Linked DNA regions of Lepisosteus oculatus. The protein of the gene in region 1 interacts with the protein of each later gene in a biochemical or structural test. Links are inferred from orthologs where the notes say so. Each region holds a gene or a part of one and is shown in the gene's direction. Other genes may lie near its edges.

What was found.
Region 2: the proteins of sntg1 (region 1) and plekha1b form a complex in vitro, tested with the Homo sapiens proteins (2 studies listed by BioGRID and IntAct, with this or other methods). The link is inferred for Lepisosteus oculatus from reciprocal best matches to the Homo sapiens genes SNTG1 and PLEKHA1.

Annotation. Positions count from the first base shown.
Region 1 is NC_090701.1:47,632,752-47,649,484, forward strand, and holds the start of sntg1 (gamma-1-syntrophin), read left to right. Parts: upstream 1-9,437; 5' UTR 9,438-10,280; intron 10,281-16,733. UniProt on the Homo sapiens protein: Adapter protein that binds to and probably organizes the subcellular localization of a variety of proteins. May link various receptors to the actin cytoskeleton and the dystrophin glycoprotein complex.
Region 2 is NC_090699.1:27,819,817-27,836,588, reverse strand, and holds the start of plekha1b (pleckstrin homology domain-containing family A member 1), read left to right. Parts: upstream 1-10,640; 5' UTR 10,641-10,758; intron 10,759-16,772. Other genes in the region: btbd16 (BTB/POZ domain-containing protein 16), read left to right, coding at 944-1,045, 2,469-2,663, 3,733-3,801. UniProt on the Homo sapiens protein: Binds specifically to phosphatidylinositol 3,4-diphosphate (PtdIns3,4P2), but not to other phosphoinositides. May recruit other proteins to the plasma membrane.

The DNA of each region.
Region 1 (16,733 bases):
TGGGATGATGTAATCAAGTCTCACACATTCTAACAGGACACTTGCATTAATTTATTTTGGGGCTTTAGCTTTTAGCCATCGTTTTTTTTTTTTCATAAGTGTGCGTCTCTTCATTGCACAGTCAAACTAGATTTTAATTCATATCATTATATACTTTGCAAACTTAAATATTCAGTGTCACTCAGTGTCAGTGTCAAGCCATCCTATTGAAGTCTCCTTTGCTGAATTCACATATTTTTGGCATATTACACAATTTTATTATAAAATGTAAAGCTTAGATTTTTTTTAACACCAGTCATAAATGGAGTTTTCTATGAATGCCTGGGAGGGATAACAGCAGCCAAGTTCAATTGGTCCTAATTTATAATCATTCTTGACATTATAATTTCTTCACATTAAAAAAACATAAATAGATACATTTATGTATCTATTTGTCCTTTGCAATTATCGTTTCCATCCCTAATTTACCTCATACTCACATAAGCACCTACGCATTAATCAATCCTTACTCTGAAAAGGGGTCTCAGCCTATGCCAAGCAGGTTTAACCAAATTCACTTGACCAAAATACTCAATATACATCTATAGACCTAATTCTTGGATGTTGTTATTCCAAGTGAAATTATATTACAACGTTCAGTTCTGATAATTACGTCACATAATTACATAACCTCGATTTTAAGCACAGTGGCATGGTGCTTAACACTACCGCCTCACAACTCTTGGGTCTGTGTGTGTGATTATGGACAAGGCTGTTTTGGTGTGAAGCCTGCATTTTCTCTGCAGCACATGCAGCTAAATTGCCCCCTTGCATGCATGAGAGCTCCATGAGATGTTCTGCTCTTATATCTGGGGATTTCCTATGCTTGCTGAATGTAGTTAGGCTCCAGCTCACTACAAATCTAGAAAGGAGCAGTAATGGATAATTTAAGGATAGATTTTACTATATATACAGTATAAATGAAATTGATTTTAAAATAAACTTCCAATATTACGGTCCCAGCTCTTTTCCAAATTTACATTAAAACGTATTAAAATGAGCCCCTGCCACTAAAAGATATTTAAAAAAATCATAATGGTCAAGAGATAAGATGTCTTGATGACATTCCCCAGAAAGACACTGAAGGGGAATTAACTACCTTTTACTTAATGAGGAAATGATTGGTTAAGCGATGGTTTAAAATAAAATAATCAGTGTTTATTAGGTGGGAAAGCCAATTAGCTACTCTGCTCAATTACCATTAACAAAAGATGTTCAGCTTAGTTAGAGTTGAGATAGAGCTAGTATTTTTGTTTGATCTATTTTAGTCTTGGTTTTCCTGTACTGTGAAAAAAGGTCAGTACAGTACAGTAGTAAGTCAGTGCAGTAGTTTAGCACTTAAGATGTTTTAAAGATCTTGGACTTGGAGCCTCCTCGATATTGTGATGTAAACACAGTATACGTGGTGTTCTCACAAATATTTGCATTTAAATGTTGCACACAAAATCAAATACCAATTCATTTGATTATGTTTCTAAGGACAATTTTTAAAAGAGAAATTAACTTTAATCACTTTGAACTTGATATTTATCAAAAGACCTTTATCTTTGATTTACAGGCATAGCTCCTTTTCCATTACTTCTTTTTCAGCTACTGCACTACTCTCAAATGGTTGCTGCTTTTTTTATTTAATTGTTGTAAAACATACAGGTTCCTTATTATTCAAGTGTATTTTCTATGTTAAAATATACATTTTAAGAATTAATGTATTACCTATGAAATGATATGAAATGTAAGAGGATTTGCAAAATTCATTTATCAGGAAACCAGTAATTATTTTTGATATTTTAGATAATAATGGTTAAACATTGTCAGATCAAATTCACTACTTGATTATACAGAACATTCTTTCGCAGTACCTGTGGATCTTTGTTACTGGCGCAACCTGCATACCAATGTAAGATTGGTTCCAGGTATTTTCTATCTAAAGAGGCAAAACAGAACCATGGAAAGGCTGTTAATATAAACTGTGGTTAGCTGGTGTTAATTGAAAAATGGAGGTATGAGTACTTAGAACTGCATGCATTTTAAGCATTCATAAGCTAGATTCCTATTGGATCACTGCTGCCATGCTATGCTTAAGGAGAAAAATTAAACTGAATTGTATGCTAATAAGGGGGAGAAGAGTACACTGTAGTATTTCAATTCCTTAAACCCTCTGCAAACACTGCCGTGAAACAGCATAGGAAGAATGTTTTAATATTGGTTTTAAAGAATGTTATGTTCTTTAAAGAATGACGCTCATGGGTTTAGCAATGCAAAACTTATTAAAACTACAATCCCGGGATGGAAAACTTTGGAGCAAATTTGGAAGTGACTGTATAGAATGTATCATGATTTAAATGTATTTCTGTATACTAGAATTAAGTGAATGCACTGAATGTCTGAGTTAAAGTGCTGTTTGTTAAAATGGAAATAAATGAAAGTGTCACTCTTAAACCTGATTTAATAGTAATACTCTAATGATAACCTACATTCACCTACATTTGTCCTAATACATTGCTCTAATCTATTTTTAGTGGCTTTCTAGATATCAGGAGATAAGAAGACATGTGAAACAGAATCCTTAGCAAGGAGAAACAAGACAATTTCTTATCTTATCTGACAGTACAATTTATAACAATTCCTTATTACCAAAATGTGTCTCTACAAAACAGTTTCTGCCATGAAACATGACATAAAGAATATTATATTTTATGAAAAAAATAAAATAAAATTAGAATTAACCCTCTCTGAAACAGTCTGTAATGAACTGAATCATTACATAGTGGTAGACTTAATTTAGCTGCCTTTGGAGTATGACCATGTTTAAAAGCAAAGGAATTTTGTTTCTTCAAAAACACATTTTTAAAGTGCTATAACAAGGTTGGAAAGTTTCATTTATATATTTTAATGGCAAAAACCATTGCAGTTAAAAACACTAGGGTATCACTGTTATTATTACATTTATTTAGCTAAAAACTGCTACAGTACAGGATATAAGGCCATATCTTTGGTTGTCATACATTTGTCAATCAAATGTAGTGATTGTGCCATGATGTAACAAAAGGCAAACATAAGAAACATTTTTATTATTAAATAATAAGGATAATTCAAACAATGTCCAAAAATAACAATATTAACAGAAATTCTGAATTTAATTTAAGTTATAATGGTATGACGGTAATTCAGTTTTTCTTTTGTGTGTTTTTTGCAACTTGAGTAGAACGAAAAGGAAATATAAACACACTGGAAACTGTATTAATAAAACCAATGGCAGAACAAGAACATGCACTGAAAGCTATAACATAAAGGTCTTTAAGTGAGTTTTAAACATGTTGACAGTTGCAGAGCTTTTAATGGATCTGAGCAATAAAATCCAGACGCAATACACTGTACAAAAGAAGGCTCTAACACTCATAGCTTTAAGCCTGATCTTTAACAGAGTGAGAGTATCAGAATCAACAGATCTCCAATTAAGAGCTAGTCTGTACACTTATGCCCATAAAATAACCTGGAGCCTTATACTGTATGTAAGTATGAGAACCTTAAAGTCCACCGTAAGGTGCCAGTCTAATTTACATAGTATGAGAATTACTGTACAGGCTTACATGCTGATGCAAAAATACAGTGTTGAGAAAAGGCTTGTGAATCCACTAGGATTTCCACATACTGTATTTGACACTCAAATGTTATCACATCCTAATCTAAGTACTAATAATAGATAAAGTTAATCTGACTAACCAAATGACATAAAACATGATACTCTTTTAGCATTTTTATCATTAAAAGATACAACATTAAATACCCATTTATGACAAAGTTTGTGAACCTTTAGATTCAGTACTTACTTTTGACTTGTCTGTCCAGAGAACATTTATCCAGAAACCTTGTGGATCATCAGTGCTCTCTCTGGCAAACTTCAGACAGCCAGCAATGTTCTTTTTGGAGATCGGTTTACTCCTTGATGTCTTTCCTTGAACACCATTCTTATTCAGCTGTTTTCTGATAGCTGTGTCATGAACAAGCACATTTACTGTAACTTATGTTACCCTTAGAATGTATAAGTCAGTGCCTCTAGGTATTGAATGCAATAAAAAATGTATACATATACAATAAAAAATCAAAAATTGTGTTTGCATCATTTTTAATTTCACAAAATGAAACATACTGTAGGAATGTTTTGAATACTTCTGAATAACACTATAAACATAAAAAATATACTGTACAGCCCAAATAAGTTTTTAAAAGGATTTTTAAGATTTTTTGAATAGTGCTTCCTTTATATCTAACCCCAAGGGCACTGCTGTAACTTGTAAGAAGAAGGCTGCTCTCAAGTGCTTTGGGGCAAAAGAAGTTTTGTGTGTTATTTTTATTATTCCAACTGCCCTCACATGAGCAGTAGACAATGGCCAATTGAATTTAGTGATATATAGTTTTATTACCACCAAGACAAAACAGTTGTCCTCCTTTTTAAATTATAAAAAATTCTAAACTGAATTCTGATAACATTGTGCTGTATTCTATATTCATTAAATAATAAAAATAAAAATAATATATTTTTATGATTCTTTGTCTTTTGAGTTCCATTACTGTTGTTGTGTGTTTTCATAGATATGTGCAACTGCAACTGTGAGGTTAACACTTTAAAGAATATTCCATATATGCCAAGATTATAGAGTCAAATATACATAGCACTGGAAGAAAAAATCCAAGTACAATTATATTTGAGCTTTTAATATAATAAAAATATTAAATTAAATTGGGATGGTCATATTAATTCAGTGCATCTTCAAATGGTTTAAAATAAGACTACAGAAAACTCAGAAATCAAATTATGATTGGGAAGGATATTAGCACATCCAGGCTAGACTCCCACTCACCTGATGGGTAAAGGAGCCAAGGAGTCTGTAATGGGAGCCGGTTAAGACTCCCATATAGTGCGCATTTAGGACCCTATGCAGACGGTAAAATCCGGAAGAGGCTGGAGAAGGGCAACAGGGAAACACAACAGGATCAGGACAGGATGACAGACAGGGGGGCATGACGGCAGTGTTCCTGTGCTCGAGGGGGCGTGGTGCAGGCGAACAAGTCCAAAACTAACAGAAGGGGAAAGCAGGTACCCGTCCAAAGTCCATTGCCGGGAGATCCATCAAAACAGACACAGAAATGGGAACGAGGAATCCGGACCATGGAAGTAAAATCATAATGGAGCCGGGTGCTCCGAGCCCCGGATCCAGATGGTCAGGACGCCAGGGAATAAGACCTGCCCTCGGGCTACCTGCGAGCCCGGGGAATAGGCAAGCCTGGTGGCATTCAGCCATCTTCCAATGCTGATCCGAGAGCTACGGAAATGCCACGCTTAAATAATAATCAGCAAACAGGGGGCAGGTGCACGCAATAACGAAACTAAAATACAAAAGGGTAGGAGCACCCTCTAGAGGAGGGATGAAGATGACTTAAACTCATGTAGTTTGTAAATGTGTAACAGTTTCAGACCCATGTAGTTTGTGCATAGCTACTCATGGAGTTGTGTAGTTTGCTTCCTAAATGCGTATTCCCTTATTTTCTACTTTTGTCCTATGGGTTTATTTCTTTGTTGGGTTTTATATATTTAGTCTTTGAGCAAAGCATCCCATGGTCTTGGTGTCTATCGAGAGTAGGCTTCATCACCAGTTTGATAATCTGATTTTGGGAGCACACTCTTGGACAGAGCATAATGCCAATCTACGAATCTGCCACCAGGATGTGAGAAAAATTAACTTTTCAAAAACAAAACAAAATTAAATAATGATTTAGAGTAGTTATTGTTAATTGTTAAAGTTATAGTTAATGAAGCACAATGAAAACCTAGCAGTTTCCAATAGCCATTTGGATATATAAATAATGTTATTTATCATTAAACTGTAAGCAGACATGTTTATTGATTATTTGAGTGCCACTGTTCCATTGATATAGCAACAAAGTAAGCCCAAGTCACTTAATTTGACAAAAACACCAGGTGCATAGTATTTGATATTTTAATTCAGATAAAAATGAATTGACTAAGGATCTATATAAACAGCTATTCAAAAGACATACTTTTATGTAATGTAAGAACAGTGAAAGAAACAATCATGCCCCACTCCAATAGTGAAAATCAACTGGTTGCTGTATAAGCATGATTGTAGGTGACTAGAGTAAGACAAGTTGTCCAGACAATTCGGTGTTCTGGTTCAACAGTCATCAGACTAGTCCGTAGAACCAGGAAACTGAATCTCTGAGGGAAAGCAATGTCCTTAAAGTCATGATACCAGATGCAGGACCATGACATCAATCTGATCCATCTGTGTAATCATTATGTAAACTGCAGTGGCTACAGCACTAGGAATTCTCAACAGAAATAACCTGTTATCTCTCTCATGACCCATATCCAATATAATGCCTGTGGAAGCAAGACAGGAATGGCAAAAAAAGCAGCCAACTATGACCAATGAGCCCTCGCAAGCTGACTACAGCTGCAAAGAAAGAATAGCAGAACATTCCACAGCACTACCTACAGGCTGATCAATGTTGTGCATCTATCCTGCCAGGATCATGTTAATGTTCAAAAATGTCATAACCATTTTTCAGATGTCCTCATTTTAACAGTGTTATATTGTCCACAGTTTTATTTCCCCACAACTCTTTGATCTATGCTGTATATTGTTCTGTGATTTTGATATTTTATGAAAAAAAAAATATTTGATTCATCAGTTAGGTCTGACTGCTGTGCATAATTATAAAAATCATATTTATTGGACTTGATCATTTAAGACATTAATGAATAATGTTCATGTATGGTGCCAATAATTCATGTGCTTTATTATTGGGAGTGGAAATCAGGTAAGAGATCATTTTAGTTTCCAAATATCTTTCCCTTACACCTTAAATACACATCCCTATGGTACATCCCTTTTTAATACTCAATACATTTGCAATCATTTGTTTAGCAAATGTTTTACAAATTACAGCTGTGGCATGAATTGCACCTGATATATTCTGTAGATTAATGTCTTTAATGTCTTTACTGAATAGGTAGCATCATGCTAATTTATCGCCTATATTAAATATCCACCATTTCACCGTATTTTGAGTCCTAAATGAAAGTCTAAAAGAAATGAAAAGTAGAATGTTTAAAAACTCCTTCAAATTGCCAGCCATAGCAATTTCATGGAGTACAATCATTATTTAATCTATCTACTGTACATCATCGTTCAATCCTTTTCAATCCTTTCTTGTGAATATTCTATATTCTATTCTAATTGTTAGTTTAATTTCTCTTTCCGATCAAAGACTTTCAATTTTCAGGTGTCCATCATACCAACCTTTCAAAGACATGTTTTACCATTTTTCTTTTATGTAGGGAGGTCAGATATAGAACTGTATCAGTAATAAATTTAGTGGTAGTTAATACAGGTTGTGAAAATAGTTCTTGGACAGTGTCCTGCAAATATATTCATCCAGTTCATACATGGACACTGCCCAATTCTGACTCTTCTCCATTCCAAAGTCGAATTCCAGCCTGCCAGAGTCACCCTTCCTCAGACCAATATTGCTCAGACCTGTCACGACTGTAATCCCTGCTCTTAAGGGCGCTCCAGCTCTTTCATATTTTAGTTGATCATGTGCACCTGCCGCCAATCCTGCCCCTCCTTAATTAAGGCGGGTGCTCTTGCTAGTCCCAGCTCTGCATTGGAAGACGTGTGTGTTTCTGTCTGTGCTGCAATACACTGGCAGCGCATCTACGATGTATCCCAACTTGCACCCATTACTTGGCAGGACAGGTTCTGCTGTAACCCAGAATTGGAAGGAGAAAATGGATGGATGCAAATAGTCCACATACAGTTCAAAGTACTCTGAAGACCAGGAGATTAATCTTCAAACTACAGATTATGACAATGATCAACTCTGTTATGATACACTAGGAAGCAGAACCATATACAGACATATGATGCTACTTTCCCCACATTTGAAGTCAGTGTCTAAAGTCACAGTCAGCTCTTTTGTTATTATTCTGGTTCACTGGGGCAGCGTTACTAAGTTTGGAACAAGTAAATGTTAATTCCAAGCTAAGGAGTAAAAAGAAGAAACAGTTGTTTTTCTGTCTTATGTTCTGCATGGAATTAACCTTTACTTAATGACAATTGACTGGTTTCCTGTCCAGGGTGTATCCTGCCTTGCGCCCATTGCTTGCGAGGATAGGCTCCAGCTTCCTTGTGACCCTGCAATGGAAGAAGGACTTAGAGAATGGATAACTAGAGTACTAACTAAAGATACTAACTACAGTTAGCTTAGGAGCAAGCTGATGTAGCTAGCACTTGCTAACCCAGCTCCCCATTTGAATAGCTAATTTTGAGTTTGAAATTGGAGCATATACTTTTAGGATTTTTGTGTCTTTAAATAGCAAATAGACAATATTAATTATTTGATTATCAGAGTTATCTCAAATACTTTCTATATTGAAATCATGGTGTCATTGTGTGAAGGACTTTTGTCCAAAAGACCTGTAAGCATTTAAATTGTGTACCAAAAAATCCCAATATATTCTTTTCATTTGTAACTATTTTACAAAAGTACAGACATATCATGGGTACATACAATTTAGTGTGAGTTTCTGGATTTTTCACACTATTGCAGTGATTAAGAAATAAGGATAGAGTCTGTAAAAAGAAAACATCTGGAGTTTCTCCATAATTTTGCATGAAAAACCGCTGCTTAACCACCATCCCCCTCCCTTTTGCATTGTAGCCAGTGTACTGTACGTTTCACAAGACTTTTGTATAAGAGCGCCACGCTGAGTAAAATTTAGATCCATGCCTTAAGGCTATGCTTTGGCTGTGAGAGTCAGTATTCCAACAGACCACAATGCATAAGTGTTATCCATAGGTTATCCATAGTATTAGCTTCAAAGAGATGAGAAGCATATTTACAAAATGTTTTTTGGTGATGTGATAAAATAAGACCATTATGTGCTTCAAAATTGTGATAAAAATAATAGTATATATATAGTAAAAAAAAGATAAAATCACAAATCGAGTTTTATGCTCAAGTTATAGCATTTAAATTTCGAGTCTAGTCCTAAAATAGTAAGAGTGCTTACATCTACTAAACATACATATATAAACTGAATGTCTGGAAAATCTGAACGCGTTTTTTTTCCCTGTGGATCGAACGTCCTTAATTTATGTATTTTGTATTTTTACGCATGTATTATACATAATTCTTCTTTCATTTAAAAGTTTGCTTTAAGAATCATTGTTGTACCTGAGAGGTCGTAGCTATATTTCTTCAATGACTAAGGGTAATGAAAACAGAATTTATCTGGAGTGCTTTAATAGCTTGTGCGTATCTCACACATCTTTCGGTTTTATTTTCAGATACAAACACTTTGTACTATTTTGAAGGAGAGCGCGGTCTTTACAAAGAAACTGGTGTTTGAATTTCAGCCCTCGTTCGTTTTTCTTTTACTTCACAAGACTCCGTCACAGCGGAGCTCTTCATTAACTAAAGCTCCCTTCGCTTCTGTAACTGCGGCTTCTGTGCTGTTAACGGTTCTCTTTCCTAAATGAACAAGAGCTGCAGTGAAAACCCTGCGGATATTCTCGTCACAAAGCTTTTTTTTGTTGTTGTTTTTGGATTACGTGTTTCGTGCGGTTTTATTCGTACTGAGCCGCTAAAAACGCTGCTAAAACGAAGGGTTGGAGAATGGTAAATTGATCAATAAACCGGAGTCGGAAAAAATACACGATTTGTGAGAGTGTGGGAAAGAAAAATCCCTTGTGATTTTCAGTCCGTTTCTGTGATCTATCTTGTGAGTTTTTCCATTCAGTCATTTCAGCACCACTAGAAACAGACAGCGACCGCTTAGCTTCCAGGAGATTGGAAAATGTACAATCTGCATTTCACTTGGATTTTACTGGAAATCGGCAGTGAGGAGAGCTAATAACGCATTCAAAAAGGAGCACATACAACTTGTGTTTAGTTTTGCGTTTCACTTTGGGGCATTTAATTTCTTTTTATACTTCGTCGTTCTCAGACACTCTCGGATGCTGCGTGGAAGATACGGGGACCAGGATCAGAGGCGATTTCCATGAGGTTATTGAGAAAGAAAAGAAGAAAAAAAATAGCCCGGAAAAACAAACAAGGAATATTGTAACTTGGGTTGGAAGGATTTGTGTGCATACAATAAAAAGGGAAGGGTTTTATAAATACTGGAGCTCCACCTGTTAACTGAACACCAGGTAAGCAGCTGAATTGTGTTTTAGTACTTTGTTTACAGATACCAAATAACAGACATTTTGATTTAATTAATAAAATAAGAGAAAACGTACGAACAAGTGTACACACTGCCCTTACACTGTATATACATATAGAGAAAGAGGGTGTAGTGAACAAAAGTATTTCTTTCATTGAGATTGTGTTTATTTAATGCTTTCGGAACTTTGTGAAATTTGCTGTCGCATTACTTCGGTCTTAGTTTCAGAAATATGTCCAGATCTGAACAGTGAGAATGCTAGAAAAAAAAAATCTCTTGAATTGCCAATCCACCGCGCTCTTTCTTTTTGTATAGAAACACAACGTTAAAGATTATGCTGATGTTAGCGCTGGTATTTGCTTATTAACAGTGTATAAATAATAAAATAATAATAATGAATCTTTTTGTCGACCGCGCAGTATATAATCGTTAGACCCAAGTTATCTTAGTTACAGGGACGATGAATCATTTGTTACACAACATATTAATTTAAACACATTTCAATAAACAATTTGAAAAAGATTCGGAATGCTTGAGGTTCAGAAATGTGCCGTGTACCTTGCCTGTTTAGATCCTGTAGTGGCTTAAGGAAAACTAGAACTGTTAGAACCTGCTAGTAGCCTACTTTATCATTGAAGAATGTGTCTATTAGGCTGTCTATTAGGCTGCGGGTTCGAAACTTACTAAAATTGTTTAAAAAAGAAAATATAAACACGAGAGTTAAGAGTCGGGACGCTGTTTTTCATACCTCCCAATTTACGTAATCGGTTTTTGATAATAAATTACTTTAAAGACTCACGTTTAAAGGTTCATGTTAAATAAATACCGGAGAGAAACATTCTGCAAGTAGGGATGCTGCAACAGCGGTGAAATAAAATCTTAAAGTCTTTAAATATTAAAAACTTACAGTTTTCCTGAAATTCGAGAATTTTTAACTTACAGTATTTAACATGCCAGACACTATTGAATATTTAGATAACTCCCAGAAACATTCAATATGGAATGATCTAGTTGTTTTTAAAACGTTTGAACCTGTGTATTTTTTTCTAATGATCTTTTTTGAAAAAAAAAATACTGTAGGTGATGCCGGTTATTGGGGTAAATCATTTCGCCTTGGTTATTCGTGCAAGTTCTATATCTATATTTTCATTACCATTTCTATTTGTATATTTATATTGTATGTTAGTGCACATATCTTTACAAACTCAGCAATGTGCTATAGCTGTCTTTTCAAAGCAAATCACATAACAAACAGGATTAACATGATAGCACAACAAGAGGAAAAGCTCAAAAAGACCGATGAGGTTCTGAGACCTGAAGAGAACCAACCTATGAAGGTTTTAACCTACGGAGTTTTGCTTCATTGTTTGAAATTGTGTTGGTTTGCTCCCTGTTTAAACTGGGCAGTTCACAAAATGTCTGGGTCCTGAAGCCTTTACTGAAATAATCAAATGAAGGTAGGAAGATAAGATGATGTCCTGAATTTGGATTGGATTGAGTCAAAACGTAGATCCACCTGCTGCTCACCCATTGCTTAAGGATATGCTTTTATTGGGAAGATGAAAAGACAATGACAGACACAACCCCATCATCCAATTATGTTTTTTATTTAGCAGTTAACATGGGGATTAGTATTTTTGATCTGTGGGTGGGTCAAAAATGTAGATTTGATCTGTCATGTTCGGCCTTCAGCTGGCCAACCAACCTTTGGGTTCCAGAAACATGAAGAGTTATCAGCTTGCATTTGGTATTGCAGTGTAGGGTTTCTAAATTAGGATTTCCTTAGGCACCCCCTCATTTTTTTTTCTTTTCAGCCTGTCATAGAACAATCCTTCATCCCAGAACTGTCAGACATCCCTTGCTTATGTCTCAAACAACAACTAAATCTAGTATCATGCGTCTTCCACGATGCCCTAAGGTAAACACATTTCCCTATGATACTGTATGTCTACAGTCCCCACAGATGCTGCAGATGAAAACAAGGCACTAGTATACAATTATTGATACAATAGAATGTGAAGATGTCACAACTAATGAAAGGATCTCTGATTTTTAAATATGTTCTTATGTAGTACAGTTTCCTATTTAAACCTTTAGCTAGTCCTGACACAAGATACTGTCATTTCTTTTGTGTTACTGGCTACCCTACATTTCGGATGTGAGGCAGAGGCAGAGTTGCGCACGGCCTTACTCCCAAACAACATAAAACAATATTTGAGTACTGTGGGGGTATAAAAGCTCCACAGGACTTTAGGAAGTATACCCTTCCACTTTGTTGAAAGAACAAGTACCTGGTCACTAAAAAATAATATAATTTTCCACTTTCCACTAAATTAAAATCCCTTTTCATTGTACATTGTTTTTCTGTAATAGATTTATATATTTAATGTAAGTACACCTCAAAATATTCCAATGAAAGTAACCAATATCAATTAAACACATTTAAGCACATATTATTATAAGGATAAGAGATTATCCTAAAATAGGCATAAGGCTAATGAATAATGGCAGTTGTATACTGCCATTATAGTTCAGCACAAATAATATTATAATATACTGTGCAATATTTTTATTGTTTGGGGAGGAAAAACAAATTTTACCATTATAAATCATATTTTTTGTACAGTCGCATGGTAGAATTATTTAACTGTAGAAACTGTAGTGACTGTAGTAATCAAATCATTTTTTGCCTAATATACAAAAGAGGGTAGACTGAGAATGTAAATTTATTGTTGTCGATTTCTTAATAGTGATTTTTAAATACATCTGAAAAGATCTGAAGTGATCTTATTATAACATGGCATTTTTTCAAGTAAATCAGAAGTATTTATCATCTACACACTGTGTTTCTGTTCAAATAACAATATAAAATAGGCAGAAATGCATTATTTAACAAAATATATATTTTAGGCAGACATGCCAAACCATTAACCATGAGTTCCAGATGTAAGCATCTGTATGCATGCCGGGGGTTGAAATTATTCATCACAGCAGTCTACACTTCTGTAATGCTTAGTTGCTGTCACCCAGCTTTAGACCTTGGCAAATATCATTTAGCAGGTCTACTATGATGCAAATCACGGCATCAGTATACCAGGCCAGCTTCTTAAACACACTGCATGTTTGGATGTACAGTTAATAGCACTCATAAGTCATTAACTTGTCTCAGCTACAGGGGTCAGCATAATGAACAAAGCACTTTGGTTAATGACATGTTATTGCTTTCTTACTTGTATCATTCTACGCTTTACTATTTGTTAAAAATAAATACCACATATGAAAAGATATTATAATAACAGTGTGTTTCAATTATTAAGGTAAAATATCTGTCAGTCCAAAAGGAATTACTCTGATGGGAGGATGAAGGAAGAGGGCTGAGTCCACAGAGCCTCACTATCTGTCTCTGCTTATGTCAGTTGTCATGTAATAATTCAGCATAATTTAGGTTGTGGGGACTATGCTTTGGATGAGGCCTGGATTGTTGTGTCATGGTCATCTGCGTGAACAATATCTCTGGGCCACATGTTGCCAATCCCCCTGCCATATGCAGTTATGGTGTTATTAATGGGACATGATGGATGGTTCCTCTCATAGCCCTGACCCAGGAGTCTGTGATCCACACCTCTTTTGTCCCTTAAAGATGCTCTGTTTAGTTGTGGAGGCGTCAGGTCCGGAAACTTGCCTAAACAGGTTTGGAGACCAGGAGTACTGTGGCTTTATTGATTATACATGTATACAAGTACAAATAAATGAGTGACAATTAGAGTTCATTAACTTACTTATTGAAACACATTGGAGTATATAAAGACGGTACAGGATACCAAACAGTATACACTTATACAATATACACAAAACAAATATAATAACTCTAGGAAGAGTTTAAATACGAGTCAGAAGAATAATTCTTGGCTCAGGAGATTCTCATGCATAGACATGATCAGAGAAACAAATCCTTTACTACAGAATACAGACTGAAAAGAGATTTAATCAAGTATATGAAATCTTAAGAGCTACATATACTGTAGGGTCAACCTGTCACAGCATTTCATACTCAGTATTAAAAACAAAAACACATTGTTTTGCAATTGGAAACTACAGATGCAACCTATAGTTGCACGAGTGGGCATCGCAGTATAACAGACAGCAGCAGATCGTGGCTTTTTTTATTTTTTCGAATCATCTGATGAAAGACTGCACTACTTTGTAAAACCACACCTTTGTATAGTTATCTGACAAATCGATACAGTATTACATGTTTATTAACACATTACTGCTTTCCTGCAATCATTGTATAGAAGTAGTAATTAGAAAAAATATTTTAGATGTTAATTAGAAATATGTATATTATACATAGTGGCTTCAAAAATCACATTTAAAAGCAAAAAAGAAAAAAGTTTGAGTGTTGCATATTGTAAGTTGCATTGTAATAATGGCACTCTGAAAACATTTGTCTATAATAATTAAAGATACTATAGCTTTGGATAAGTTTGCAACTACAGTATGTTGTTCTAGACAAATAGACAAATACGTCTGTGCCCCTTTTTCTTGTCTTGCAATATACGGTATATGCAATTTGAATTAAGGGTGATCACCCTATTTAAATGGATCAGAAAGTGTCTCCTTCATGTGGTTTTTAATTCAGCTCATGAGTCAAATACATGTACAAAAAAACTACATTTCCCAACGTATCACACGTTTAATGAAACACAACTACCACATATTGATCTTCTTTGAGCCGTGAATGACTAAATTCTGTATGCAGCACTAAGTACTACACTGCAATACACTTTCTTCCAACAACCGTTTTGACATGCATTCTAGATGGCTTCATCTGTAAAAGGACATTGATTTAGAGCAGAGAATAGGAATAAGATTTATTTACTGAATGTAGGTGTTGGGAACAGGCTACCCAGCTAGGTGTTTAAGGCCCCAAATCCTGAATAACATTTTAGATACATTTTAGATACATTTAGCTACTAAACTACAAAACAAGGAATATGGGCTAAATGACTTTTGGGTTTGGAACCTTTCTTTAGTCCTTATGGGTGTATGTGCAGTGCCTATAGTAAATCTACACACCCTTTCCTAACAGTCTGAGATAAGGACACATTTAATCAGAATTTATTTTACCTTTATTTATACAGTATATTGTAACGAGCTTCCAAGTGAAAAACAAAACACTGGAAAAATCTGTAAAGCAATAACATATTAAAAACTAGAAAAATGGTCTTAGTAAGTGTACACACCCCTGAGTTAGTACTTGGTAGAAGCACCTTTTGCTTGAAATACAGCCATAATTATGTTTGGATAGGTCTGTACTAATGTAGCACACCAAGAACTGGCAATGTTCCTTACAGAACTGTTAATGCTCAGCAGAATTGAGATGGGATTGATTATGGACTGCAAACTTCAAATTATTCCAGAGATTTTCAGTTGGATTGAGGTCAGTGCTCTGACTGGGCCACTCAAGGACATTTACCTTTTTGGTCTTTAACAACTCCTCTGTTACTTTGGTTGTGTACTTTGGGTTGTTGTCATGCTGAAAGGTGAGCATCTATCCCAGTTTCAGCTTTCTTGCAGAAGGCAGTAGGATTTCCTTAAGGACTTTTCTGTACTTTGCTCCATTCATTTTCCCTTCTATCCTGACACATTCTCCAGTCCCTTGTGGTGAGAAACATCCTAGTAACATGATGCTGCTCCTACAATTTTTCACAGTATGAATGATGTTATTTGGGTGATATGCTGTGCTGAGTTTGCACTAAATGTAATATTTAGGCCAAAAAAAAGTTCTATTTTAGTTTGTCATATCACTTGCTATCAATGTTTTGTTGCAGTTTTTTCAGTAATTTCTTCCTTTTTGCCCTCCTGCCATATAGGCCAGGTCTGTGGAGTGCTTTGGATATTGTTGTTAAATGTGCACTTTGACCAGTCTTGACATTAAAGCCTGTAGCTCTCTCAAAATTGCAATTGGCCTCTTGGGAAACTCTCTGATCAGTCTCCAACTTGCTTGGCCATCCAGTTTGGATGGATGGCCTGATCTATACAGGGTTTGGTGGTATCAAACACCTTCCATTTCTTAATAATCATCCTGGCTGTGCTCCAAGGGATATTTAAGGCCTTTTAAATCTTTTCATTTCCACCTCCTACTCTATGCCTTTCCACAAATTTATCCCAGAAGTCTTTGAATAGCTCTTTGTGCCCATTGTTGACTCTTCACTTTGAGACGCACTACCCAGCCTAAGAGACCTACAGAAAGCTGATTTTATTCTGAAATAATCAGAATCACTAGTTGAACAAAGGTGGAGGCTAATTGCATGTAGTTTGGAAGATAATTGGTTACATCAGAGCTAATTTACAATTGCTTATACCAAGAGTTATGTGCAATTATTCAACCTGGTTTTCTAGGTTTTCATTTGTAATTACTTTTCCAAATGATTGA
Region 2 (16,772 bases), on another chromosome or scaffold:
TGATATAGTTAAAGGTTAAATGTTCAATCTAAACAGTAATTGTTGCAGACACCAACTTGTACAAGCAAGAGTCAGGGAGGTCACATTTCTTTTAGTGCTGTGGTGGTGGAGAACAGGAAGAACCTTAAAAGACACAAATGTAAAGGCAAAACATACAACCTTATATCTACAAACTACTATTTACAACAGGAGTGAGGTCTTAGAACCCACACTTCCCCACAAGGTGTCAGGCACTGAGTCCCTAATACAATCAAAAGAGGACATAAATCTTCATAAGGGAAAGTATGGCTATTCATAAAATAACTAATCCACCACAGGTGAGCCAGTCCTGTAAATTGATGTTGAATGTGAGACAACCACTGGTCCCTAACAGAAATGCATCCAAACAAATAACAGTGGCTAACTCTGGCTGATGGGTTTAAAAAGGAAATTTCAATAGTTCAACAAATGTAAAACATACAGTTGCATTTCTCAAATTTCGTCTTGAGACTTTTCAGTGCACAATACCTGATAAATTGTGGCTTTTCTAACAGGAACAAGTAATAGAGACTGTAGAGCTCAGTCATGTCTTGTTGTCTTTTCTCTTGCTGTACTCTTACTCCTTCACTGATCTAACTGGATATCCCTAAGTTTGAAGACTGCTCATCTGATCCCCTGCCTCAGCTGTCCAAACACCCCAACAGATACTCTTTTCTAAGAGCTCTTCTACAAGAGGGAACAAAGAAAGGCTAAATTCACATACCAGCTCAGAACATCAACAATATAAGAATTAACACACAGCAAGTGCTGTTAAAAGAAGACAGGTGTAAACTATGGGGTGACAAAAAACATTTGCATAAGTATCATTTTATTGCAAGTACCTTTCTGGGGGTCTTTTTGGATGCAGTGTTTGGTTCTTCACATGACTTGACACGGTTCCCAGGAGTGCTGTCTTTTCTTGCAGGAACCCCAGTACTGCACTCTTACTGCTGCTCTGTATGGTTTCTACTTCCTTCTGAAAGCAACTCGACTCCAGGATTGCGACAGTCACGGTTTCTCCATACAGGTGAAAGGAGTCTGAGAGAGACACAGATCCTCAAAACACTACTGAGAATATTTTATAGAACATTGCCTAATGTTAGAGTCTCATTGATTTTGCGTGGAAGAAAAGTATTTTTCTTCTTTCGTGTTTTTATCTTAAATGAACAATTAGGTGTCAGAAATTGAAAGGGGACATATTAAGCTGCACTTGATTTACATCTGTGCTCATGTACAAAGGAGTTTTCACTTCATTCGCCAGCAGCCATATCACCCTGCAACTCACAACAAGTAACCCACTGAAGCTAAGCAGGTGTGAGCCTGGTCAGTACCTGGATGGGAGACCTCCTGGGAAAAACTAAGGTTGCTGCTGGAAGAGGTGTTAGTGGGGCCACCAGGGGGCGCTCACCCTCCGGTCTGTGTGGGTCCTAATGCCCCAGTATAGTGACGGGGACACTATACCGTAAACAGGCGCCGTCCTTCGGATAAGATGTAAAACCGAGGTCCTGACTCTCTATGGTCATTAAAAATCCCAGGGCGTTTCTCGAAAAGAGTAGGGGTGTAACCCCGGCGTCCTGGCCCTTACCAATCATGGCCTCCTAATAATCCCCCTCTATGAATTGGCTTCATCACTCTGCTCTCCTCCCCACTGATGGGCGTTCTGGTGCACTGTGGCTGCCGTCGCATCATCCAGGTGGAGAGGAGTCCCCATTACCTGTAAAGCGCTTTGAGTGGAGTGTCCAGAAAAGTGCTATATAAGTGTAAGCAATTATTATTATTTTCAGTGTTTGATTTAGATCGACTGAGTTGCTGTTCCTGGGTTTGTTTAAATTGAGCTGAGCTCTTAAAGCATATAATTCATACATGTAGTAAACATCTAATATTTCTGAAGAGGTCAAAGCAAACCTTCTCTTTCTCAGGAACAGCACAGTGGCTGCAGATATTTCACTGCTATTCACATGTAGCTCCCGTGTTTGTCTTTACCAACTGAAAGCAGGTTTTTCATTACATGTGACATGCTGGGCCTTTAGGCCTTAAAAAAGTTTTTTATTGTTACTTTTAAAACGGCAAGACACAAAACATTCCTATTTTCAAATTTAAAATGGAGATTCTATTACGACACTCATCCTGCCATTACTGCGGAATGAAATTTTCCGGAGATAACTAGAAGTATTCTCCACAAATGTTTCCCACTAAGACCCTAAAAACACTGGAACTGTTTTACCTCAGACATCCAGAGTTTAAAACAGTTCTGAACTACAGAGTAGATCCAAGTAAAGATTCCCAGTAAAGACTTTGTGGCACTGCTGTTTTAATAACCAGCTTTTAACACATGGAGGGGGTAGGGTGGTGGTAGTCTGCTTGGAGCTCTCCCCTGGGTGAAGAGGGGAATTGAAAGCCTGTTTGTGCGAGTCAGTATTGAGTGATCGTGTCTATCTCCTCTCTGGCAGCGGCTGAAACACTGGGACCCGGCCCTCTCGCTGCGGGCCTGTGAGCGACGCCCATTCAGCCTGCTGTCAGAGCGCGGTGTGCAGTACCAGATTACTGTCCAGGGGCTCGTTGGCAGTGGCAGGCAGTGGCAGGAGTTCTGCACTGGGCCAATCTGTCAGGACTTCGGCATCACCAAGAGGTCCTCCAAGAGCCAGGTACAGCCACCCCTGGCACATCGCTGGCTTTGCCATTACAGGGCTGAACAACACACACTCCACAAAGTGCCTCTCATTTTGCACCAGTTGAGGTAGCTTCTTATTATGTAACCATAAATGGCACCCCCCAGCTGTGAAATGGCATTTTGGACTTTGCAAATATTCTTCTTGGAAAGCTGCACAAACGAGACATCAAGTGAAGTAATTGTGGAAATGCAGTTGCTTTCAATTTTGAGCTTATTGATCAAAATAGATTGATTCTTAATCTGTGCATGCTTCAAATTCGGCAGAGACTGATGTTACTGTCAGACATGATGATGCAGTGCCACAGACATTATTATTACTGTGTCCATATTAGATTTTATCTCCTTCTTTCCCTTCTCTTCCTTTCTTGCAATGCTAAACAGCATTTTGAAATTCCCTGATGATTGTGAAATGTATTATCAGCTCCTGGAGCACTCACGCTAATGGACAGTCGGCCCTGGGAGACAAAGAGATGTGGGGGGGCTGGCTGAGTGTCTGACACCTGTGTCATTGCAGCTCCTGCCAATAGATTTTGGGGGGGTTGATTGCAAGGTATAGTCGAGGTGGCTGGAGATCACAATGAGCCTGTGGTGCACACAAACAGACTTGCCTCCTAGCACACTGACATCGAGACCCCCCCGGGGTCTGTTCTCACATGCTGTGTTGTTTGTTTTTTCATCTGACAATCATGTGACCAGGGAGTTTCACACACACAGGACCCAGAGTATTTTACCTCCAGGTCTTCAGAAAAGAGAGATGCAGTTTGCACAAAGAAAATGCAAAAAAGCACACAATAGTCTTCACATGCTCTCTCTAAAATGGCTTTTTAATTCTGAGCGGAAATGGACTATCTAACATTTTGGTTGTGCAGCACGTTATACTGTACGAATGGTTAATTTAGTATCAGTGCTAATAATGGTGGTGATAATTAGTACCTTCATAATTAATATTAAAGTCAGAGTAACAGTTCTACCCTTAAATTTTTTTAATCATTTGATTCTAATACTCATACTTATTGTTTGCATTTCTTTTCATTTTTCTGCAGGTGTTCAAAGTGAAGGGCCTCAGCCCTCCTATTTACGTGACCTTTGCACTTGTCTTCCCTGCTTTCTGAAGCCCATTCTAGCAGGCGGGAGCAGACAGCCGCAGCTCTCCTGAGCCTCTACATCATTAAATCCTGGTATCAGAAATCACAGACAGCATGACTCTTGATACTCTGCACTACATAGACTAAGTAGGGGGGCAACTAGAGGGCACATGCTTGCTACTTTATGCAAAGATAAGGACTAATCCTTATTTGGATAATTTCTTTAAAAGCAGAAGAAACAAAACATCACTTTTTAAGGAGGGGCATGTTAATTAATATCAACTCCTGACAGAGTTTCACACTCTCCTTTGTATAGTGGTGCTGCAAATAACTCTGTATGGAGTTGCCTGTTAAATAAGACCCCTTCATAACATTAGATAATATGAGGCGCTGTCTCTCTGCACATGTCTGTGAGAGGAGATGGGTGATATTTCCATTGAGTTGACTTCTTTGTTTAGCTTATGACTTTCACATGTTAAATCTAACCTGTAAGGATATTTTGCTCTTGTAAGCATCTTGAATTCTGCACCACAGCTTGGTGTATAATATCGCTACTCTGATAGTATATCAGATGTATACCTGGAATTCTGGATATTCCTTCACAAGCCCCTTGTGCTATTTGTTTCTCAGCATTGTTTGAAGGCGCAGTATACTGGCACTGTTCAATGACAGAGCTAGTTTCCATCTTCCAGTACAAACAGCAGAGCTCTCTACTCTTCAACACAGCAGTTCACACACAGTGTACTACAGTGCCTGCTGCCTCTCCCTTCCTCCCTTCTCCTGCCTCACTTCCGTCTCATCTCCCATCTCCTGCATTGAATCATGGCTGTGGATACGCAGTGCTGCTCTCTATAGCACTGTAACAGGAGGCACAACAAACCAAGAGAACCGATATGCTTACCTTTTCTCATTTGTAGCAGAGATGCAGCGTTGTTCTGAACACAAAGAATGAATAAACTGTCAGGTGTTAGTTTCAGTGCATTTTTTGTTTCTGCACCAGATTTGTTCCCCACGTCGTTAATAGTAATTTGAGTTTAAAGTATGAAGCTGTACATCCAGGCAATACAGTTAAGGGAAAGGGAAATGTCTGTGTTTTGGTTGGAGCTGTTGAAGGTAAGCCTTCAGGTTATTGCGAGTTAGAAAAGGTGGAGCAGACTGGAAAACATTTTTATTAACTCTTTAAATTTTCCTGTCTTAGTTTGATTTTTGCTATAGTTTCCTGCTTTAGTTTGATTTTTGATCTTTTTATTGTGGGTTCACTGAGGATGGCCTGAGAAGCTATTTTACTATATCTAGGCAATTGGCATCTTTTAAATAGCATCTACTGGGTTGAAACTATAATTGGTTTGGTTGAGCAAAAAATAGAGTATAACAGAAACAGGAATTGCAGTGGGGCTGTCCGCCCTGCGAGTCTCTCCCCTGTACCTCCCTGTACCATCTGAAAAATGACTAGAGTCATTGTGAAATCTGCATTGCTATGTAACCAGCCTGCTTTGTGTTTGTCAGGGGACCTTTGTAAAACTGGGTGGGATGTGAAATGATAGAGCACGCCTAGCCCTCATAGATCTAGGCAGATCATTATAAACAGCACTGTGAAAGACTGGACCTGCCTTAATTGCAAGACAGTGTGAAACAAAACTCATACACAAAGGGTGCAGGATTTAAAAGAGGCAACCATGTTCTTCAAAGTAACTGGGAAGTCCAAGTTATTCAGATGAAGCCTGACTGCACTTTTCTGCCTATCAGTGTCCTTTTAGACTTTGCATCTAAACGTTTCAGGATCCAAAAGCAGCCTGATCAAAATCTTTATAATACAACTGGAATATTGCCAGTATAAATAATAATCTATTTCCCCATAGCGAAAGATGGTAAAACTGAGACAGCTGATCACCAGTACAGACAGGATGAACAATAAAGAAGCTAGTGAAACCTTATTTCAAAGCAAAGAGGAATGCTATGCTATTAATTTATAATGACAGTTGACATTAAATAACCATTTGCACTTCAAAGGAGAAATCTGAATATAGTTATTTTCGCCTGTGGTGAGCTGCTGCCAGGATGCAGTGTAAATGCACAGTTTGCCTTTACCTCAATCCATTTAGGAAGCTGTGTAATCAGTGAAGTGTCAAAAACAGCTGATTACACTGCACCAGAGAAGCAGCTATTATCATTGCTGAGCTGCTGTGAACTCAGGCCCCCAGCACTGGGGACAGTGGAATTCTAGACACGCAAACAGAAACTAACACATTTTGTGAAATACCTACCTGAACAAGTATTGTTTCTTTCAAATCTGTCAGCTTCTACCCATAAACTAAATATATATTAAATGGTTCTTTTGCACGTAATGTTGTGGATTCGAGACACTGTTGCTGTCCTGAAATAAAAAAAACACCAACAGTCCAGTGTTCAGACCCCAAATTATACATCCCATCCAGACAGTAATGTTTCTTCAGACTTTCTAACTTGTCAGCTTGCTCATTGCTGTCAGTCTGGATGAGCTTTTGTTGTTTCAGGTTATGCAGAAGGATATGTCACATAAAATAGAGATGAGCCTCATCTCAGGGCTTAAAATAAGTGCCAAAAGTCAGAAGCAGTCATTCAAAGGATATTGCATTCGTATCAGGATTGGCGCCCACTGATTTATTAATTCAGAATTATGTGTTTCTCTACATTCTAAATATGTTTCTCTGCTATTGTTTCTGAGTTCTAATTTCAGTGAAAGGAAGCAGTGTTGCTCCACGGATTCTGTATTTTCACATGGGCAGGCTGCCATTTAGGAAACTGGGAAGTCAGCCCTGTGTTGGCATATCCCATTGCATTTCTGTAGAAGTAAATAAGGTAGTATTCCCATTTGCGGTTGCCAAATGAGTATCACTCCCTGGGTTTGTTCTTTTGCACTCTGTGCTCAGTTGCTGTGGAGTTTCCCAGACCTGTGAATTGGCTGTTTGAAATCAGGCTCCTCGTTGTTTGCACGCTTTTCATTCTGTCACCTGACTATACGCTCCAGCTGCAGGAAAGGGGAATCCCTCGTCCTTTCTCAAAGGGGAAATGCCTGTAAAGAAAGGTGAACTGTGTTAAAGCAGCAGTTAAGGAGGATTTGAGAAATTCTGTCTCAGTTGTGTGGAAAGCATTCTGTTTTTTTTTATAAGCTGCCACTAATTGTCAGTGAAAGGTCACTGTTACCTCGTGTGAGGACATTAATGATATTAACAGATATTTGGGGTTTGGCTCTATGCACTGCCACCTGCTGTGGTCATTAAGATGTAAAGTCAAGCTCAACTTGACTTTATTTTCCAATAAGGAGCCTGTTTTGTTACAGGAGCACCTGCTACACTTCTCGAATGTGTGTAAGTTTCAGGGGGAGATGAGGGAGAAAGCCAGAACAGTTATGTTTTTCTTTGTTTGTTGTAGTTCAGCATATAGCAAGGGTCTTTTCCATTTCGGACCTCAGTCCTACAGTATTTCAAAATGAATCGTTTGAAAATAAAAGTCCAAGCATGGAAAATGCTAAGAGCAGTAAAACAAGAAAAAAGGAAGATGCCAATGAGAAAGTGTGTTCAGCATGTGTTGCAGTGCATTTAATCAATATTGTCATCGCTATAATATAATATAGGGTTAGGCAACAGCTCCCTCATGACCCCTCTAAAGGAAGGTCTCTTCTTAATGAAATTAAGACTCTCTGGTGTTGCAATAGAGAAAGGAGATGAGCATGGAACCTCAGAGCTTTCCTTAATTAGCAAACGAGTTGAGCTATTGGGCAGACTGTGGTTTAGATGTTTAGATCAGCTAAAGCAAGCATCACTGTCTTTTTAACAATATCTACTTTAAATATGGCAGATGGGGAAGACAGAAAATTGCTTTGATCACAGGTATACTGTAAAATTAGTAAATTATCCACTTGGCTTATTGTACAAAGAAAAAGTGCAGTGAATGTCTGAAGACTAGAAGGAATAAATACAACAATTTTAACTATTTTTTTGCTAAAAACCCAGGGAACAGGAGTTACCACTGAAAATTATTTTGATTGCAATTCAACTTTCATTGTACGTCTTAGAATTATCTGCTAAACATTGCCATAGCAACATAACAATCAATAAAAGAATGGTTCAATATTGGAGCGGGTTCTGTATAAGAATAAATAGATTTGTACTTAGAATAAGTTATGTGAAATAGTATGAAAATGAGTCTTAAAGTTGTTTCTATACCAGTTACTACAGAATAAATGTTGCCCATCACATTCAGCAGTGAAGGTCCTACAGTTCTGCAAGTTTGTTCTGTATTTTAAAAAAAGAATATTAAAGAAATGAAAACCCCAAAGAGCAGTAAAATTTTATTAATAACACTGTATCATTCCTTGAGATGAAAAACGATTGATATATAAATTATATGGTGTTATACTAGCCTTCAGATATTGTTCTTTTCTGTCAATACAGGCATCTGACCTCTTAAATTGATCATTTTCATTTAAAAGCTGAGTCCCCTCTTGCTCTCATGCCATAGGGATTATTTCTGCGTAAGCAGAAAGGCTGGTTGTGGTACATTGTAATGGAAGCATCTAAGCCATGATTGATGAGGGTGCAATCATTGATGAACACAGCACAAACACACATTCTCCATTAGTCTGGATAAAAACTCTGCAGACGTGTTCTTTTGTCTCTGTTGCTTGTAAGGCCTTTGAAGGGGCTGCCTCCACCCTACCAGCTCTCCCAGATGAATATATTGTGCTGTGACCTCTTCGCTTTTATCACTGCCCACCCCTGTGGCACAAAGCAATAGACTGTGAAACAATCTAAGGGCCTTTCCAGGAAGTTTTTTTTAGCTTTACAAATTAACATGGCATAACATACTGCACAAAGGTTCCTATCCATCCATTATCAGTAGGCTGCTTATTCCTGGTACAGATCAATTGTACCCAAAGCCCATAATGGGCACAAGGCAGGCCCACAGCCTGTTTGAGACACAAAGATACTCCTAAAATCCACACTTTGCAAATGCATAATAATAATAAGGACATGAATTCTTACTCTGTCACACCGGTTAATTGTTGAACTATTGAGCTTAGATGCTGTCGTAAATGTATCACATCACCATAGTATTTATTGACCTTTGAAAACAAACGTTAATTAGAACCTCAAGTGTTTTGGAGGGGGAGGCAAAAAACAGAGACACTTTAGTGTCTTTGATCATCATTGCTGATGATAACAGTACATAGTTTTACTGCATCCATGTATAACACTTGCAGTACATATTCATTCATCATCAGCGAGCAGTGAAGCTGGAACTTGTCAGGGTGAGGCCAAAGCCCACCCAACACCCACAGGGAGCAAGGCAGGACTTGCCAAGGGGAGACCACACTCCTGGGGCACCAGATCAAGGGAGGAAGGGACAATCTGGGAAAGCCTGGCAAACGTAGCCAGCACCTCTTTGTTTGCTAGAAAACGTATTGAAGGTCCATGCAAATGTGGGGACAAAATGCAAACTTCATGTGGAAAAATGCTGGAGGCCAGAATCAAAGCCGGGAACCTGTAATCATGAGGCAGCAGTAATGACACCAAAGATATGGGGGTGGAGCGGTGGTACTGTGGCTAAGGATCTGCCCCTGTGGCTGAAAGGTTGCCAGTTCAAATCCCGTGGCCGGCAGAGGAATCCTATTCTGTTGCGCCCCTGAGCAAGACCCTTAACCCCAGCTGTTCCAAGGGTGCTGTATAAATGGCTGACCCTGTGCTCTCCCTGTCTGTGTCTCATGGAGAGCAAGCTGGATTATGTGAAAAGACTAATTTTAGGGCTAATAAAGTGATCTTATCTTATATCTCTCTCTTGGGCTTTTAAGAGGATGATTGCTTTCCACCATCATCTCACCTAGTGAAAACAGACGATCATAAGAGAGGTTACAAACAAGAGGCCATTCAGCTCACATATGGTTAGCGAATAATTTATTCAAGGTTCTCCTCCAAATATGATTTCTGCAAGACTCCATTGTCAACAGCATAGCTGGGTAGCTAGTTCCATGCTCCCACAGCCCTTTGCGTAAGTATGAGCCACTTGTTCTCACTTTTAAATGCAATTCCACATAGTATCCATTCATGTCTTCTGGAGGACAATAATATACACAGTCAATAGACTTTTTTGAATTTGGACATCCTGAGTAGAATGGGTTGGGTTGTTGGTCTGGTCCAAGACAGTTTCTGCTTTTAAATTTATAACATGCATAGATTTAAATTACAGTAACCATAAAAAACGGGATTTAATTTCTGCCTGCATCACTCATCTTTCTATCCACTTTCTTGCTCACACAGAACCTCCCTCAAAGGGTCTCATGTGCTTTGGATCCTGTTCTCATTAACTGTAGTTTTTGCAGTTTGTCCCGATCCGTTGCATAAATCGTCCTTTTATTGTACTTTTATCCTTTTGTTTTACGCAATATTGTGCTTGTTTTTTTTCCTTTAGAAAATTGTAATAATGCCATTTCCCGTCCATTCAAATAAATGTTCAATAAAATTCTTAAATTACATTGTTATGTATATTTACACAATTTGGGCTATGTTAATGATTTTTTTTATGTTAAATTATTATTCAAGAGAGCTGTATTACAATGCAGTACTGTAATTATTACCGCAATAATGGTATTCAATTTTGTTTACTTGATCTTTCCGTTTTTCGTTGCCGGCGCCTTTCGGACTAGTTCAGTTTCAAATCATAGCTCAGAGAAATTACATCCATCCATTTTCTAACCGCTTTCTCCAATACAATTGAAGTTTAAAAAAATCCAGCATTACGACAGCGAGAAATTCTGCTAATACTACGATTCCCAGAATCCTGTGTAAACAAGCTTCCGGGGAAACAAAACGGCGTAGGACCTCCCTCCCCCTACAGAGCTTCGGGATAGGTAGGAAGTCAGTGGGAGATGGGCTGAAAGAGTTCACCAGGGTAGGTTTGGGTGGATCTCAGTCGTTACTATCAACCTTTCCTGCAGAACGGAACTGAGTAAGTAAAGAGAGCTGAACTTGTGTTTTTGTCTGGGAGGTTTTCTTGCCTATGGTTTGAGACCGGAGGAGAGAGCTGGTTGCGTGCGAGATTGAGACGTTCGTGGCGTTTCGCACCAAGTACCGTGAAATAAAATCGCAGCTAGCGGACGGGGTTGTTTCTGCGCTCCTTGGCTAGCACACCGAGTAGTTGGATATACTGTACATGTTAATACATGTTGTTGGTAGCCCCCAGAGGCCCCGACTATTGAAGCTACTTCACTGCGCTTAATTGTTGGCTGTGATTTTCTTTGTTGAGAAAGTAGTTTAACTACGAATGAGCAGTATCGTCGCAAGCTGTACTTACAGTTGCTGTTTCAAACTTTTAAAAGAGCACAGGGAATGATGAAAAAGAAGGCTCTCGTTTCAGTCGAATAATACTATATATTAAAACTACAGACAGCAAGACCTTTTAAGTGCGTCGGTAGGTGCAGGGGGTTTGTAGCATCCGAGCGCGGATATGTAGCCACGTTGTTGAAGTTTCACCTTGATTTTGTAAAAGTTCAATGTAAACAGTATGACGTTGTTTCCTGTACTGATTTAATATGTTTTAAAGGTTTAATTGGTCGGCTCACTGAAGCTGTAATGGTCTTAAAGGTGATTGTAGCTATTGTATTCTCCTAGTTTGGTATTCAAATGCATTTATTAGTGCTCTACATTGTGTTAAAGAACGCATAATTATTGCGTTTGGCAGTAGGCTCAGTGGTCCTTTACACAATCGGTGTCTTTGTGTTTGTCAACCGGTGTTTTCCAATTATAAAATAGGTTGAATACACGTGATCAGCTCTCGCAAAATTGAGCTCCCTATCCGACACAGTTAGCATTTTTCTTTATTGCGTTTGCAGAAAAAGCCCTTATAAAATCAGCATATTGGTACTGATTCGCTAGAATCAGACTTAATCATGAGAATTAACAGTAGGACACATATACCAACAATATTAGACAGGTTTTCTGTAGTCTTTTCGTAACGAGGTAATGGATAGTTCTTCAAATGACAAGTCAAGCTGCTGGATGAGTCTTAAAATTTCACCTTAGAGTGTTTTTGAAAGTCTGCATGTTGCCATCCGATCCTTCTGCTTTCTGAATTAAGGCAGTTCTCTCGTTATAAGACTTTGTTTCCTCTTTTAGGGGTGTTGGGGCTAATTTTACTTACTGTGGCTTGAGAACATCAGGAGCAGTGAAGTCCCACTGTTAGGTTTGGAATAAAAGGTATGCCCATATAGCAAAGTGTATTTGCGACCATCACGGGACAAGATGTTTTAGGATCCTCCAAATGCACTCTCCTGGTTCCACATGAGGTCTGTGTGGCACCAAAGCTGAAACAGAAAGATATTTTTGAGAACTTTCATTGTCTTAAGGGGGAATAGCACATTCCACGCTATATTCAATGAAGGCAGTTTTCTATGCTCATGGTGAACTGTGCTCATGTATGCTGTGAATGGAATTACTTGTCGTCCAAAGAAATGTTATTTGATACATTTAGATGTAGTACTTAAACATAAATGGCCTTTTAAAGCAGTGAAACCCAAGAATGTCACTATCTTTGTGACATTATACAAATCTCATGAGGTCAGGATCTTGACTGAGACTGTGCTATGAGCTTGCCACCTCATATTCAGTGCATCTCTGGCCATTGGCAGGAATGCAATTAAAGCTGTGCCACATCAGTGTTATCTATTTAGGGCCTCAAGGATCTTGTATAAATAATACTAATGAAGGAGGCAAACACATGAGCTGATTCATAAATATTTAAAGACTTTCTTCCTTTTGGCCTTTGAAAAAGGAGCCACAGTTGGTAGAACATAAAAATATTCAGACTTGCTCACAATGCGAGTCTTAGTGTCGTGGTATCTGCCAATGCCTCTTTCATCAAGTACTGGTATTCCAAAAGCAGGCCGACTTTAAATTTTAGAAGGACAACTTTATCTTCATTTCATCCCTCTGTATGTTGTGTCATCATGTTGTTTTTTTTGCAAAGTGTTGTGGAATGCAGCTTAAAATTACAAAATAGTTTTGTGTTCTCATTGTGAAAGATATGTACAACCCTGTGGTTTCTCGGTCAGGTCTTGAGACCTTTCCACCCACTCCTACCCTTTTCTGCAGACACCGGTCTGAAAGAGACTGACTTCAGAATAACTCAAAATGATGCGTGTTTTATTCGAAGGGCTTGTTCCACTGGAGTACAGTACGGCAAAAAAGTGCAAGTCATGAGTCTTCTGTTCATACACCTCTGGAAAGGAGAACCAGCTCTAACAGTGCTTTTTGTGGCCTATCTGTGTTATACTTCAGTGGAATGCTTGTTGCCATTGTGCGTTTCTAGGCTTGCTCTTTATCTTCATTTGCAACTAACTGGGATAAAAAAAAACTGAGACTTAGACATTTATCTGTGTTGTTAGGTAAAACCTAAGGCATTTGTTGGGTGTAACCATGTCATCATTTGACTTCATATTCTACCTGCATGTAATGCTTTGCACTTGCCACTATTGAATGTGCTTTTCCTGTTTCTTGCCTAGTTCTAATTAATATATTGAAGTTCACTTGCATTTCTTTTCCTGTGTTGATTGGCTTGCCGCTTACCCACATTATCTGATATGACTTGATTACTCTTCTCATCTTATGAAACAGATTCCTTGTATACCCCACAAATAATGTCACCTCATTTTGAGGCCTCTCAATATATTAATCTTATTAGAGTCCCTAAGTTTTTGGTTTGAGAATTATTCTTCTATAGGAAACGTTTTAAAAGCTCTTTAGAAATCTAAGTGTACAATCATACAATATTGGTATCCTATATTAGTTAAAAATGTAACATTGTAGTGCAACAGGGTCCGATATATGGACGAGGCTTTATGTGAATTGCAGGGGGATTTTTAAATATTTGTGGATATTTGTTAATTGTGCACAAGACATGCAGAATTGTGAAAAAGTAATGTACCTTTATTATTAATTTGGGAAATCCAGAGTAGACCCATTTAAGAACATTCCAGTAAATTCTTAACCAGACATTTTGCTGCAAAATATATTACATTAATGAAGTATTCATACATTCATTGCAAGCAATAAAATATTGAAATCAGTAGATAGTCTGATTCTACACAACAGCTGTAGAAGAAGATTCTAGTTGCCTAAGCATTTTAGACTAAAACAGTGTTTCCTTTAAACTCTGTGCCTTGTGTTTGTCATTATATTGTTTATAACTGAACATTTGGCTTAAATTTATTATCTTGCAGGACATTGGAATCTCCTGTAAAGTTTTAAATTCTAGCATCTTTAACCAACACTTGTCTTTATATTTGTTTCCAAAAAGTTGCACATTTATTTACAAAAGCTAATTGGTTACATATTTGTCTTTATGCACAAGGTTGTGTTTACTTAAAAAAAAACTCTAACATGGACCAGAGGAGGGTGTTCTTTAATTTAATTAATGATCATTTAACTCAAGTAGTTCTGCCAATTCAGGTGCTTGCTCAAGCCAGGCTTTCTCCTTGCTTTATTCAGTGTGGAAATCTAAGAAAAGAGACTAAAAATGAAACTTGGGGTCTTCAAAATTAACATGCGCAGTGTTGTGCTCTACGGTTCTGAATTCTGGAAGGTGACCAACACCATCTCAGAGGAGATGACGTCTGACACCTTTCAGAGCAAGTGCCTATGGCAGAAAAAGATGTACTGACCAAACTGGAATGACCATCTGCAACGAAGGCTTTTAGACCTCAGGTCGCTCACTACAATACTCACAGAGGAAGATGGAAGTGGCCAGACCATGTCTTGTAAATGCCCCTCTGACTCTCTGCCACGAGCAGCGCTACGCTGGACGCCACAAGGGAAAACAAGTAGAGGCAGACCCAAGGAGACATGTGGAGGGGGAACTCGCCTGGGGAACTGCACCAAGAACAGCAGCAGGTCCCATGCAGCTGCCTCATGTCAGAGGCGGCACAGTAGAGCCCTGCTCAGATGTCAAGTCATCGTCCAGGTGTTGTGGGTCGGAGCCTTACTGTGACTGGGGTTCCCTGAGCTCCAGCACACACGTGTCTGAGCCCCAGGAGGGTCGAGGGTAGAAATATACTCGGCCAACAAAAATAATTATTTGATTTTGTGTGGTACTGTACACTATGTATATAGTGCAACAGAGCTCGCTGTATCACCTGCAAATACACATCCACCACCACACTCATTCAAGGCCCCTCAGGACAATTCCGGATCACCCAGACAGCATCTTGTACCTCCAGCAACCTTATTTACTGTATCTCTTGCAGTAAATGCCCAGCCATCTACATTGGAGAAACAGGAAGGAGACTCGGAGACCGCTTCAGAGAACACGTCAGGGCTGTGAGGATTAAAGATCTCTCCAAGCCCATTGTTTCTCATTTCACCTCTGACGGCCACGACCACACTAATCTCTCCGTCTGTGTTCTCAAAGACGGTTTTCCGAGCTCATACATCAGAAAGAGCACCGAAACCAAAATTATTCTGCAGCTAGGATCACACATTCTCCCTTCCCTTAACGACAGATTACTGTTCTTTTAAATTTTCTCCATTCATTGGAAGTTTCATTTCACACCTCTCTGCACCCATTCTGACTTCACACCTCTTGATTGGCCTCTCTTTCTGTCCCCTGCTCCCGCCTCTCACTCCTCCTCCCTCCCAACCTTTGTTCTCCCGCTACTTTACCTTTGCCTACTGCCCTGTCTCTCTCACACCTGAAGAAGGCTCCACGGCCGAAACATTGTGTTCTCTTTCTTCTTTTTTTTCAGCATGGAATAAACCTATTGTTCCTTTGCAGCCTACGCATGCTGACGCAGCTACCCACCTGAACCACTATGTATATGTTTTGGGATTAGAAACCATCTTTTGTGGAAGTTCATGGAAATTACTGAACTGAAATCATAGCATCGTACTTTGTATATGAGACAAAGACAATTAAATATCCCTTGCTATATTTATATTAATCAAGTAATTTGCATTCCAGATTCTACTTCCTAAAACAGAACAGCATAGCATTTCCTAAAATGTAGAAGGTAACGCTGAGAGATAGCAGGGACATGTCTATGTAAATCCTGCCAAAGTTAGCAATGAGATAGGGAGTGAAGAAGGAGTTGAAGGGTGTTGAAGGATGCTAACTTTTAAAATAGCTGACTCTCTGCTCAGTTTAGCAATTATTAAATGTGGTGTTACTATGTTTTAACAGCCCTTCTCTATTTAGAAGAAGTGTTCAGCCACATTGTTGGTACAGCGCACCTTAAATGGCATTCCACCCTCCCACAGCTCTTGTCCCAGGCTCTAGAGCAGGTTGGGCAGTGTGCTGTCCTGCCCACTCCCTCCCTGGTGTTGCTGCGTTCTCTGGTTGTGAAGAACTCAGGACTTAAGAGAACAAAAGCTGCAACACATGCCTCTACATACAGTTCTTTCTGTTTTTTTTAATATCAACTAATATTGAGAGCTGTGGAAAAGGCATGCAATTATTTGCACATCTCGATTCACATTCTGTACTACTGTTAAACAAATTTCACTCTGTGATTTTGAGAGAGAGCCCAATTCACTGTGCTGTAGTATAGGACACCAGTTAGGTCAGTGTGTATTTGCCTCCTTTGTGTCATGGGTGTGTGAAAGGTAAGGACTGATATGAAATTCCAGTGGTTTTTGGTGTTGCTCTTTAATTGTATACTCAGCAATGTGCTGCTTTACTGTTATCCCTTGACTAGATTCTGGCAGTTAGTCTAGAAATTGCCAGGTGATTTGACGAATCATAGTGCTGATTAAAGTGTTTTCAGGATCCGGTAAACTTGTTTTCTTGACAGTTCATTCAGTTTACCCACTTACAGCCCACGTTACAAGAGCAATGATTCCAGTTAACCGCTGCTGGGTTACTGGATCACTCCAGTTACTGGATCACTCCAGTTACTGAAAATATACTGGCTGAGGAAACATTTTACTAAGAATGACATCCACATTGGTGTACGCTTTCTACTGTATTTGTGT